Nothobranchius furzeri: one gene and its partners. The protein of the gene in region 2 purifies or fractionates together with the protein of the main gene of each other region. This does not show direct contact. Links are inferred from orthologs where the notes say so. Each region holds a gene or a part of one and is shown on either strand. Other genes may lie near its edges. The genes, in order: mlst8, rapamycin-insensitive companion of mTOR and tubb5.

What was found.
Region 1: the proteins of rapamycin-insensitive companion of mTOR (region 2) and mlst8 purify together in Homo sapiens (affinity purification with western blotting; 14 studies listed by BioGRID and IntAct, with this or other methods). This does not show direct contact. The link is inferred for Nothobranchius furzeri from reciprocal best matches to the Homo sapiens genes RICTOR and MLST8.
Region 3: the proteins of rapamycin-insensitive companion of mTOR (region 2) and tubb5 purify together in Homo sapiens (affinity purification with mass spectrometry; 3 studies listed by BioGRID and IntAct, with this or other methods). This does not show direct contact. The link is inferred for Nothobranchius furzeri from reciprocal best matches to the Homo sapiens genes RICTOR and TUBB.

What each region holds. Positions count from the first base shown.
Region 1 is NC_091756.1:30,078,341-30,082,435, forward strand, and holds the end of mlst8 (target of rapamycin complex subunit lst8), read left to right. Parts: coding exon 1-122; intron 123-2,081; coding exon 2,082-2,200; 3' UTR 2,201-2,826; coding exon of another isoform or gene 2,827-2,921; 3' UTR 2,922-3,466; downstream 3,467-4,095. Other genes in the region: bricd5 (BRICHOS domain-containing protein 5), read right to left, coding at 2,827-2,921.
Region 2 is NC_091757.1:36,632,452-36,636,580, forward strand, and holds the start of rapamycin-insensitive companion of mTOR, read left to right. Parts: upstream 1-1,209; 5' UTR 1,210-1,436; coding exon 1,437-1,551; intron 1,552-1,676; coding exon 1,677-1,724; intron 1,725-3,735; coding exon 3,736-3,833; intron 3,834-4,129. Other genes in the region: c17h5orf34 (uncharacterized protein C5orf34 homolog), read left to right, coding at 1-17. UniProt on the Homo sapiens protein: Component of the mechanistic target of rapamycin complex 2 (mTORC2), which transduces signals from growth factors to pathways involved in proliferation, cytoskeletal organization, lipogenesis and anabolic output.
Region 3 is NC_091745.1:74,453,626-74,457,750, forward strand, and holds the start of tubb5 (tubulin beta-5 chain), read left to right. Parts: upstream 1-1,206; 5' UTR 1,207-1,306; coding exon 1,307-1,363; intron 1,364-3,308; coding exon 3,309-3,417; intron 3,418-3,559; coding exon 3,560-3,670; intron 3,671-3,751; coding exon 3,752-3,996; intron 3,997-4,110; coding exon 4,111-4,125. UniProt on the Homo sapiens protein: Tubulin is the major constituent of microtubules, a cylinder consisting of laterally associated linear protofilaments composed of alpha- and beta-tubulin heterodimers.

The DNA of each region.
Region 1 (4,095 bases), on a different chromosome or scaffold from region 2:
GAGAACGTCCAATTTCTCTCTGATGACAGAGCTGAGCATCAAGAGCAACAATCCAGGAGAGACGTCCCGGGGTTGGATGTGGGACTGTGCGTTCTCTGGAGACTCCCAGTACATCGTTACAGGTCTGTTTGCCGTAGAGGACGGGGTGTAAACGACATTCTGGGTTCATTTGGAAACAAACACGGTTTATTGTTCATTATAATCATGGGAACGTTACTTTTATAAAGTAAATTGTTACAGTTACTAATTACTTTGTTAAAAAAAGCAACTCAGTTACTGAGGTACAAGATTATAAAAGTAACTAATTACCAAGAAAAATAACTACTGGTATTTTCCTACTTTATTTTTTAAATAAAAGAATGTAAGAAAAATGGGATTCCCTTCTTAATAAAAATAGCCTAATTTACTGTAAATTACTACAGTACTAAAATATAAATGACTAATAAGATTTGAACATAATAAAATGTATGTTCAAATGTTTATTATGAAACTGAAAAGTTGAAATAAACAGGAGGAACTACAAACGGGAATCATTACACTAATCTAAACTATTCAAATGTGTGGAACAAGACCCCAATCAACAACATTTATAATTGCAAATAGAAAACACCTGCAAAGGGTTCCTGAACCTTTAAATGGTCTCTCAGTCTAGTTAAATTACTGAAATAAATGTAATTTGCACAGTATTCTAATTTTTCCAGTTTTACATAATTGTGTGTTTTTAGTAGCATTTCTGTTGCTGCTAATCTAGTAATGGTTAAATAAATTTATCAATAAAATCCTCAAGAGTGACACTAGAAAAGGCGCAAATCTGATGGAGGTCTTAAAGAGCAAGTCGCCCCCTAATCTACTCTTTTGCTGATAAATTATATAAATGAGTGTCCAATCGTGCTGTAGACACATGCAGTCAATAATTTGGCACTTTAGTGCGACTTAGTTAACATTTAAATATTCTGCCTGAAACTCAATGTTCCCTGCACTGCATTTGAATTTAAATCTGCCATCGTTATTGGCTAAGATGTACACTATGATGTCAGCTGGTACATTGTGATGTCACAGTGCAGTTGCGAACCTGTTTGTATTTGTTAGCGGCTCCGCCAGGCAACAGCATTCGTTGTGTTTTTCAAACAGGAAGTGGGAGTGGAGTAAGAGTCTGGCCGGGGGTGACTTGCTCTTTAGCTTTACTAACTTGGGTCAGACCCAAACACAGAAGAAGCTGGGTGGCAAAGACACACACTTAGTTCTAGTTGCACCTGAGCACCCATGACGTCTGAGACTGACACAGTCAGTGGTACAGCGGAACAAAAGAAATAATCAGGAACCGGATCCAGTTGGATCATCTAGATAGAAGAATGGTACAGCTGCAGACCGCAGCGCAGGTTCACGCCTGCAGCAGCGAATCTGCGGGTCACCAGTTCTGTAGCCATAGACCATTCATCACGTCTTCTTCGTTCATCACGGGCTGTGAGGCGCTGATCTTCCAATCAGCTGATGACAGCTTCAACACACCGCTCTGCTGAATCATAGCAACGCACACATTTTCTTATCAGTAATGGACACGGCGTTATGAAAAATGACAGTAATTAAGTAGATTTGTCACTACTGCAAAAACTAACATCTGTTAGTAACCCCGTTGTTTTAAACGTTCCCATCACAGATTATAATACGTAACCATTAAAGGTGTGGTTCACTGAAAACTCATTTTTAAAATCTTATTTCTGATCATAATCAGTCACTCTTGAGTGTATCATGCAGGCTGAACATGAAACAGTGTCCTAGGATTTCCTTCCTGCTAGAGACCACTTTAGATGTATTAAACAAGTGAACCAAACCTTTAATAAAATCTTATTCCTCTCTGTGCTTAAGCTTTGTTAGTGATGGTAGATGAAGGTTTTTGTCCGCTTGTGCCGGTGAAGGGTTCATTTCTGAAAGCAGTGCCCTCTGCTGGTCAGTAAGTTTATGAACAAAATGACGTGAGAAAACAAACAGCTTCAATACTTTTTAAATAAATATGTGTTCATGTTAGAAAGTGGGCTGAACACATTAAAGCAGACTTTGATTCCTGTTTGTTTTTCCCACAGCGTCTTCAGACAACCTGGCCCGTCTGTGGTGTGTGGAGACGGGCGAGATCAAGAGGGAGTACAGCGGCCACCAAAAGGCCGTGGTGTGTCTGGCTTTTAACGACAGCGTGCTCGGTTGAGAAAGACAGGAAGTGACAAAAACGTTCAGAGAAGGACTGTGAGGACGGGACGTTCCTCTGCTTTGACAGGAGCCACAGATGTGGTTGTTTGGGACACGGTTAACAAAACCTCCCAGAATAATCAAGGTTTTGGTGCCACACGCTAGCAAACAATCAGCAAAGCAACACAACACGTTCAAATTCACAAACTCAAGAGCCAAATGCATATTTTAGCTGGAAACTTTACAGAAATGGCTCCGTTAAGAAACTCATCTTGTGTTTTTACAGATTTGTATATTTATCCATCTTCTCCGTGTAGAAAACACTTCACATTTATGTACCGCTAAGCTGGTAATAAAAGGATTAAAGAAGTATCCTTACAGTAAGCCTTTTATTAGATAAAAACATGACTACGACAGTACAGTTACACATAATTATGCTCCTCGTGTCTAAAAAAGGGGATTGCTGTTCTGTGGTCTCTGAAACGTGCCACCAGAGAGGTTTTCACACATGAAAAGAGCAACAAGGAGGATTTAGAAACACACATTTGTGTTTTCTTTTCTTCAGACAGAAGCAGGAGGGGTCAGGCTCAAGGGGAACACTCGGATGAAGCAGAAACAGCTGATCTTCGTGCTGTAAGGACACAGTCACTCAGGCAGATAGTAGAAGCACACGGATACACAGATGTTGCTGGGGAAGCAGATGTCGATGCAGAAGTAGACCAGCCTCTGTTTGCCTGGACCTGAGATAAGACACACACACACACCCCCAGGAAGAACCAGAATCAACTCAGGTTTTCTGACATTATTTATTACGTTTCCACATCGGATCCTAAGTGGTTTATAACCAGCCTGTGTGATATTTACCCCGCGTGTCCTGAAAGGTTAGAATATTTAACCCCAACATGCAGCTTGATGTGAGGAGAGGCCACATAGATTAGGCTCTGGTTTGTTACAGACCAGACTCCTGAGATGAGGTTGTGAGTAAAGTGTGAGCACGTGCCCCCTCAGACCATCCATCTCCTTACACTAGATGTTCTGGGTTCCATTACTTCCCTGTAGAATGGAGCAGACCGAGTTGCTTTTTGAGGTTTTTTTTTGTGTCTAATTTGTGTCACACTATTGAAGTAAATCGGAATCTTACAGTTGTCCAAATAACGTGATTAATTCTCTTTTAGTTGATGATGTGTAACAAGGGGGGTTACTTTTATCACCAAGGGTCAGATTGGTGTTTTATTTCTCTGAAATTAATATTGAGTTGAATAAAACTTCTTTCTCTGAGGGAAAACTCAGGTGTGTATCCTTTAACAAATTCCCATCTCACCCTCTGTGGGTGGTCTCATCCTTCCAAGCTCGGGTCCTCTACTAGAGGCCTGGGAGCTTAAAGTTCTGTGCAGTATCTCAGCTGTTCCTAGATCTGCTCTTTTCTGGACTGAGATGTCTGATGTTTTTCCTGGGATCTGCTTTAGCTACTCCTCCAGTTTCGGGGTTACTGCCCCGATGACCACAAGTACCAGCGATGTCTTCCCTCTCCAGGCTTTCTCAAGTTCTTCTTTGAGGCCCTGGTACTAATCTAGTTTCTTATGTTCCATTTTCCTGATGTTGCATCACTTGGTATTGCCACATCAACCACAACGGCTGTCCTCTGTTGTTTGTCCACCACCACAATGTCCAGTTGGTTCACCATCACCATTTTGTCAGTCTGGATCTGGAAGTCCCACAGGAGCTTGGCTCTCTCGTTCTCAACCACCTTAGGGGTGTTACCCTCTTTGACCTTGGGGCTTCCAGTAGAGGCCAGCCGATTTATCGGGCCGTTGTATTAAATTGTTTTTGTATCAGCCGAAATTATTTTTAAAAGCCGATGGAAAAAAAAATCAGGCACCTGTGTGGCCAACTGCCGCCACTACTAGACTGAAG
Region 2 (4,129 bases):
GAGAAACACTGACTTGAGTCACTGAAGAACATGTCGTAAATCTGTAATTACAGATTCTGATCCTCTGTTTAAAGATGTTACGCATGTAATATTTAATTTGACTGTAGTAACTTGTGTCTAGACATCAAATGTACACACATTGTTCTTTGTCTTCTATTCCCGTCAGTGTTGAAAGAAGAACAAAGAAAACTTTATTCCACTGATAAATATGTTTCCAAATGATGTGGGAAAATTTCCATTGTTATGGTTTTTATTATAATCAAATTATAAATTGCAGTTTTGATTTGGTGAGGAATACTACTTTGCACATGTTAGAAATACGACCAATTTAAAGGGCAAAAATATCCTTCACATCGTTAACTTGCAGACTTAACTGCCATGTTTCTGTGAAGAGACCTTCAGCAGGTTAACACTGCATGTTGACTGTTACTATGCAGTTTAGTCATTTTAAGTCAAGTAAAAAAAACAGCCATTTTGCTTTTTGTAAACATACTGTAGCCTAGGTGTAATGCAGCAAAAGTTGTGGCAACTGCTAGAAACCTTCAAGTTTAACCAAAATAAATGTGTTCATCCTAACAATTTATAGCATCAAGAAAGCAAAATGGGAACATTACTAGGCTAGTTTGCAATACTTCATTGCCAGATAGCTAAATATATCTTTGTTGCATTAAAGTAGGTTGTATTTGTGAAATAAATTGGGAATGTTTTGGCTTTCATGGGCAAAATATCCAGTGGTTTCCAAAGCTAGGGTTGGGATCCTGCTGTGGGTCACCAAGAACCACATGGGGGGTCTTGAGACAATTTCCAAGATTGCTGAAGCTATATTATTTATAATAACTGTTACAAACCTTAACTACATTGTCATAAATGTATATTACTGTACATGAACTGAAGCAGTTTTCTTATGCCCTAAATTATTAAGCTTTTATGCATGGTTTAAAATCAGATATTTGTGGGTCACATGTCTTGACAATTGCTACTTTGAGGGTCTGAAGCTGAAAGATTGGGAACCATTTGCTTAGAAAACAGTTTGGATTGTTCATAAATATTAGATCACACTACTTAAGTCAACCCTTACTAGTTTAATCAATTAATCAAAGAGAAGCAGTCAATTGTCAAAGAAAATGTGTAAATATATAATACTAATCCACAATAATAAAGTGTCATGGTCTTAATCTGGCATGATTGAAATGGTCATAAACTCTACAACAACTTTACTTTCATGTGTTTTTGGATGAAAAGAGGTTAGTGGTGAAATTTGATTATTGTGATTAACCCCGTCCCCAGATCAGATTGCTGTTTTTATATCCACAAACAACAGAGGGACTTTGAGCAGAGGGGTCTAGTCTCAGGTCTGCTGGGTCTGTCCATCGACATTAATACCGTATATAGTTTATACTGGGTCTGTCGTAGCCAGTTTGCAGACGACGTCTTTGATGCGTGTATTGTCGCGAGATTCCGCGAAGTTTCCGGTGTTGTGTGTACTGTATGTTCCTGGAGACATGGCGGCCAGCTTCCGCGGCCGTCCTATACGGAGTCTTCGGATGCGAGGTAAGCTTGAAAAAACTCTGTTCAATGACAGGTGTAACAGCGGGAATCTGCAAAATAGAAGACCCCATACACGCGATGAGCTTGGAGTGATGTGTTTTTGTGTACACTGTGTGTGTTTTTGTCAGGTCGGAATGACAGCGGGGAGGAGAACGTACCGCTGGATCTAAGCAGAGGTAATCAGCGATTATTCTTCAAAATGGATCATCATGGCACTTTGCTGTAAACACTGCCCCATTAAACGAAACTCAAACCATGACGTGCATATGTATTTTTATTTGCAATTCTTACTTAGTCAGTTTTCCTTTCTGTTTCGTGTAAAAACATTGCTAACTAGTCATAACAACGGGCGGTAGCGAGCTAACAAACGAGCTGGATTAGCTGCCACAGCTAACCAGCCATGACGACGCGCTGTTGTTTTGATCGGTGCTAGTAGGATACAGAGCCTGTTATTCAGCCAGACAGCTCATGCATCGGTCATCACTGACTGCACGAGGAACTGGGTGTACTGGCTGTTTGCTAAGTAGCACATATGGCTGCACAGGCTGGTTCTTGAGCTACAGCCTCTCAGCCGGGTCAGAAACACTGCTCCAGCAACAACACCGGTTTGTTTACACGGAACACTCGTGAACAGCATCATCCATCAGGATTTTGTTGTATCTGCTGACATAAGGAGCTGGAGGCGTTTAACATATGAGATATCAGTGACGATAGTTTTCCTCTGCAGGTTTTAAACATATATATCTTGAGGGCCAAAATACAAAGAGGCCATGTTTCATATCAAGTTTCCGTGTAAAGAACTTCTACTTATGGCTAATTTGCAGTCAATGTTCTTGCTTAGTATTTTGAGAAAGTTACAGTTTATACAAAAACAGCAAATCTTCCTAAAAAACTTAAAGCAATGATACAAAATGAGCAGGAGACTAGAAGAATGCACAGATAAATGAGATTTCATGATACCTGAGAGTGCTAACTGACATGAAAGCTCAATTATGAGTTACTTTTTTAATTGTAGTTTGCAAACTGTTTCTTTGTGAGGATCTTTCAACAAACACAACAAACTACAGTCTACTGTTATTTTTGTAGCTGTTTCTAGGCTTTTACAGTAATTTCACTATCTCTTGAACTAAGTTATTAATAGGTAAAGGAAAGTGATTAAAGTAAACAAAAATATCAAATCTCAATAGATTATACTTTTTGTTTTGTACTTGTATTCAGCGCTTGACATCATAGATTTTAAGATTGATTGGGTTGCTTGACTCCAAACTGTTAAACAATAGAATGTTCAACAGAATCAAAGCATGCGTAAATAACACTTGTCATGGGTTAAAATGATCTTTAAAAGACACAAAGCAATTGCGATTAGCTTTGATTAATCTGGATGGTTGGCACTTATCCTGCCCTGAAATTGAAATAAAAAAAAAACCACCATGCAATGCTTCTAAAATGATTTGCATGTACACTTTTCTACTAATGCATTGTTACAAATAGGGAAACCAAACTAAGTCTGTGCTCTAAATGAAGGATTATTATCTGAAGTTATTGTCATTGCTCTTTTTTTCAAATCCACCTCTAATATAAGATACTTAAATATATATTTGAATGGGCATCAAATCAAACTGATGAGTCTGTATAACATATTTTCTTTCTTGATATTTGGTTGTACATGTTTGCTGTTTTTTAAAGTTCAATGAAAAGTAAACAACATGAAATTCATAGATTTATTGTGCATGTTTGTTTTAATTCATAAAATAAATCAACCGTTTGCAAAGTCCTGAAACCTGCTAAGCTATTGTGGAGTTGTTCTAGTGGACTTGGTGTATGTGAATAAATCTGTAAAGTGGTTATCCTGATGTATTTTTAGTGTCTGGAGCTGCTGGAACTTTTCCTGGGTTTCACAATATTTCAATGTCAAGTTATTAATCCTTCTTGCCAATAGAGTTCTCTGTTTTACAGCCACATTCCTTATGTCAATAACATTGTGGTCAGCACATATAAATTGGAAGGACGTGCAAACCAAATGCTGACCTGCTCACATCTTGCTCTTTTAATTGCGTCTTGTTTTGACTGTACACGCTAAATGAGCTGGACCGTCTTCCTTCCTGCAGTGAATCAATTACTGATACTATACCAGTATGGCTTCACACTTTGTTACGTTGCATTGTTTTCTTCTTCTTTCCCTTGCAGAACCATCTGAAAACTTCCGTGAAATTCTCCAAAATGTGGCCAAACCTCATGGAGTCAGTAACATGCGAAAACTGGGCCACCTGAACAACTTCATTAAGGTACTACTGCAGATCTGATGGTCCAAATCCACAGTTTGTGTAATCTGTCTAAACAGTGTTGAAATGTAGTTTTCAACCATTCTCTAGCCACAGGAACTTTGTGATGCTAAATGACATCTGTATGTTTCTGAAAGTTATACCAGGGTGTAGATATTATGACCACAAAGATGGTGTACCGAAGTTTGCTTGTGTGTCAGTAAAATTCCCACCTAAAAGATGGCACAGAACACACACCAGACAAAAGACGTCCAGTCAAACTTTGAACAGCAGAGGAAGAACAACGACAAAGGATGTTT
Region 3 (4,125 bases), on a different chromosome or scaffold from region 2:
GTGGATGGAAAACTATAACTATAATTTGATGTTGATGATAATGTTTAATTGTAATTAATTCTGTCAAATAATGTTGAAGCTCTATATTTACCGGTCGATCTAATTCTCACTTATGGTCACAAGCTTTGGAGACCGAAAGAATGAGATTGCGGTTACAAGCGGCCAAAATGAGTTTTCTCTGCAGGGTGGCTGGGCTCTTCCTTAGAGATAGGGTGAGAAGCTCAAGCTCGGTCATCTGGGAGGGGCTTGAAGTAGACCTGCTGCTCCTTCACATTGAAAAGAGCCAGTTGAAGTAGCTCATGCATCTGGTTAGGATGCTTCCTGGATGTTTTCCTGGTGAGGTTTTTCCGGGCATGTCCAAACAGGAGGAGAACCGAAGAAAGACCCAGGACATGCTGGTGGGAATATGTCTCTCACCTTGGGATTCCCTTGGAAGAGCTGGCCCAAGTGACTAGGGAGAGGGAAGTCTGGGCCTCCCTGCTTAGGCTGCTGCCCCCAATGGAAAATGGATGGATGGATGAATAATGCTGATAGTTGTGTTTTTGTGAATGATTGTGAAGCAGAAAATCCATTCATTGATTTTTTTTGTATCTCCCTTTTTCTGTAAGGGTCATGAGGAGCTGTTACAACTGAGCAGGCAAGGGGAATGGGACACTGTAGACAGGTCACAAGTCCATCACAGACATGCAAGTGGAGACAAACAAGACAAGCAACCAATCACACACACACACACACACACACACACACACACACACGTAGGAAAAAGAGTTGCCCATCAAATCAAACTTATACATTTTTGTTCTGTGGGGCCCATCTGTGCCACCTATACACACAATCAGCCAATCAGATCTAGTCATACTGTTTTATTGGTCTAACCAACGTTTTCAGTATATTATCAAAATAAAGAAAAGACAGAGTTTAAAGGAGCTAACTGTCATTCTGCCCCAACTGCACACTGGAATTGCTGCCATCTGTTTTCTCACACAGTCGCAGCGATGATCAGCCCCGGCTGACACTAAAACAGCTGTAATGCATATTTCTGGACACCAGCTGGTAAAATTCTGGTCAATCTCCTTTTCCAATTCCCACTCCCTGATCTGCAGCCGACACGTTCCTCCTCCCCCTGCCGGTCCTCTCGGCCAATCGGCGCGTGCAGAAGCGTGTTGTGGGCGTGGCCGCGCCCCTCTCTGGAGACGCTCCAGCCTTATAAATCCATTGTCCCCCCGGTCTCTTGTCACAAGTCGGCTCGTGCTCGTCCACTTTAATCACATCGCACCTTTTTTCCCGTGAAACCTTCGCACCCATCATGAGGGAGATCGTGCACATCCAGGCCGGCCAGTGTGGTAACCAGATCGGTGCCAAGGTAAGCTCAGAAAATCTGTATAAAATGTTTCTGTGGAATAAAACAGGAGTTACTTTTGCGTTACTTTGTCTAAAGCATTCACAATTACTGTTATATGGATTTATTAACTGATGAAGATAAAGAAATTTACATAAATATGTAATGAAATAAAAAAGTAGTAATGGTCCAGTCTTTGTGAGCACTGCAGTGCACACAACACCGGGTGTGTCTGCGTCCCAGCTCCTAGGATTCAGCCCATCTCAACGCACTGATTTAGGGAAAAAGACAAAGGAAAGAGGGGAAAATGACTCTTTTCTTCTCATGTCAGACCCCCACAGCCTGTGGAGCCTTCACTCTGCTTGCTTTGTCTGGCCCAGGCTGATATGACTGGTGTTTCAGACAATGAGTGGAAGTCTGGATTAAAGGCCTAGTTACCCCCCACCCCCAGATGTCTATGAATCAATAGCACATATTGATTAGATTTGAGTTCTGCAGGCTGCAAAGGCAGACTGCAGGGTGAGCTATTCTATTGGGACGTGATGGAAGGGTGTGGCATGAATAATTGTGAGAAGACAAGTCATTCTCTCCTTTTTTCTGCAAAAAAACACCCTTATGTGTTATTTACTATAATATTCTATTCATCTGATATAATTTGTCATTGCATCATTTAATAGTAAAGTCTAAAATGTTCATCAATGACATCACCCGCCCAGTCTGTCTCTTAGCAGCCGCAGTCTGCAACAATAGGTCTGGGTGGCCCATTATTTCTGCTGTCTTATTGTCTTATTTTTGTTTTACAACTGATCATTTGTAAACGCATGCACACGCTCAAATCCATGCCCTGGAATTAAGAACCCATGAACATTAGCCCGGATTAATGAAGGGTGATCTTTCTGGCTGAGATGTCCTGGAAAGCAGAATCTTTCCTCCCCTAACCAAATTAAGAGAAGGGTGGGGGAGGAATGGAGGAAACAGCTGATGCACAGCGGACGCAAAGTCTCCATTTCCAGTGGCCTTAATGGGCAATAGTTGTCTTCCCAAAGGCACACAACAGATGGCCTTTATATTTTATTAGACATATTTTTATCAAGCTTGTACTGTTAATCATTTTCCCTTGTTCGGGTCACCGCTTTGGCCTGTATGATCGGCTAAAACTACTAGGAGTGGTCTATCAGAGAGCCAACTCGTTTGTTTCCGTCCCCTGGGGGCTCATCGACTCCGATGTGCAGGATTTATGACGGCCAGAGATGCTGAGCGGCTGCACGGTGGTCAAATGGGTCAGGGTGTGGCCTTGCTTTTCCTGCTCGTTGTCCTCATTCTTTCACTGTGATCTTCATCATCACTGATGGGCCGTCCATCAGTTTCTGTCTTCTCACTTCTGCGTCTCTAGCATCGCTCACCCTCGTCTCGTGACATTTAAATGTCAAGATTTGTACTCCACAGCCGTTTGTCTGCAGTGCAGCCGGCGTTAACGGGAGGCTGTAAAGTCTCATTTTGCAGCTGAATACCATAAATCTAAGTGAATGTGTAAAAAAGCAGGAAATGCAGACATGCAGAGGATTTCCTACAGTATCTTAGTGGATTTAATGCGTACCCAGCCTCCCAGAGCTCCGTGGGCTTTTAAAGCCGGAGCAGGACTTGAATACAAATTTAAAGGCCCTCATTGTCCTCGGTGTTGTGTGAGACGCCTTTTTCATTTTCAGTTTGGCCTTCGGAGTGATCAGTGGCTCCTTTGTGCTCCTCCTCCTTCACGTTTTACATATGAAAGCGTTGCATAGCTTTCTGCAGAGTCATGAGCTGGCAGCTTTGGAAATATTTGCAGCTGCTCTGCAGGAAACTGCTTGAATCCTAGCGTATCCTCCAGAATATAAATATGCAAACCCATTGCTGTTATCCTCATTTAAAGTCCCAAAAGGCCTGTAGCTTAGAAGTGAAATGAGTCCCGTCATGTGATTCCTGTCTGCAGTTCTGGGAAGTGATCAGCGACGAGCACGGCATCGATCCCACTGGGACGTACCACGGAGACAGCGACTTGCAGCTGGACAGGATCAGCGTCTACTACAACGAGGCCACAGGTAGACCGTCGTCCTGAAAGGCTTTTCATGACATAAGATGTGCTGTTCCATAATATTTTTGTCCATTGCATTGCTAAGCTGCGATGTAAATGTTACGGTTTCCTCTTTTCCCTTCTGCTCTCCCGTTCACTTTCCTGTGGAGGAGGTAAATATGTTCCCAGGGCCATTCTTGTGGATTTGGAGCCCGGGACCATGGACTCTGTGAGGTCTGGACCTTTTGGGCAAATCTTCAGACCTGACAATTTCGTCTTTGGTGAGTGTCTTCCAGAGAAATCCTTTTACAATATCTGTGATCTGTATGAACTTAGAAAACAAAGTCTCACTTCTTCCACAGGCCAGAGTGGTGCTGGAAACAACTGGGCCAAGGGTCACTACACAGAGGGGGCCGAGTTGGTGGACTCGGTCCTGGATGTGGTCCGTAAAGAGTCCGAGAGCTGTGACTGCCTGCAGGGCTTCCAGCTCACCCACTCTCTTGGAGGTGGGACTGGATCTGGAATGGGAACCCTCCTCATCAGCAAGATTCGTGAGGAGTACCCAGACCGAATCATGAATACCTTTAGCGTGGTGCCTTCCCCCAAGGTGACCCGTCCTTGTGATAGTGCCTGAAAAGTTCTGTTTTTAATTAGAGTTTGTTTAGCCGTAGGGTCTTCTGCTAACATCACAAGACCGAATCAACACTGTGTGTGTTTACAGGTGTCGGACACGGTG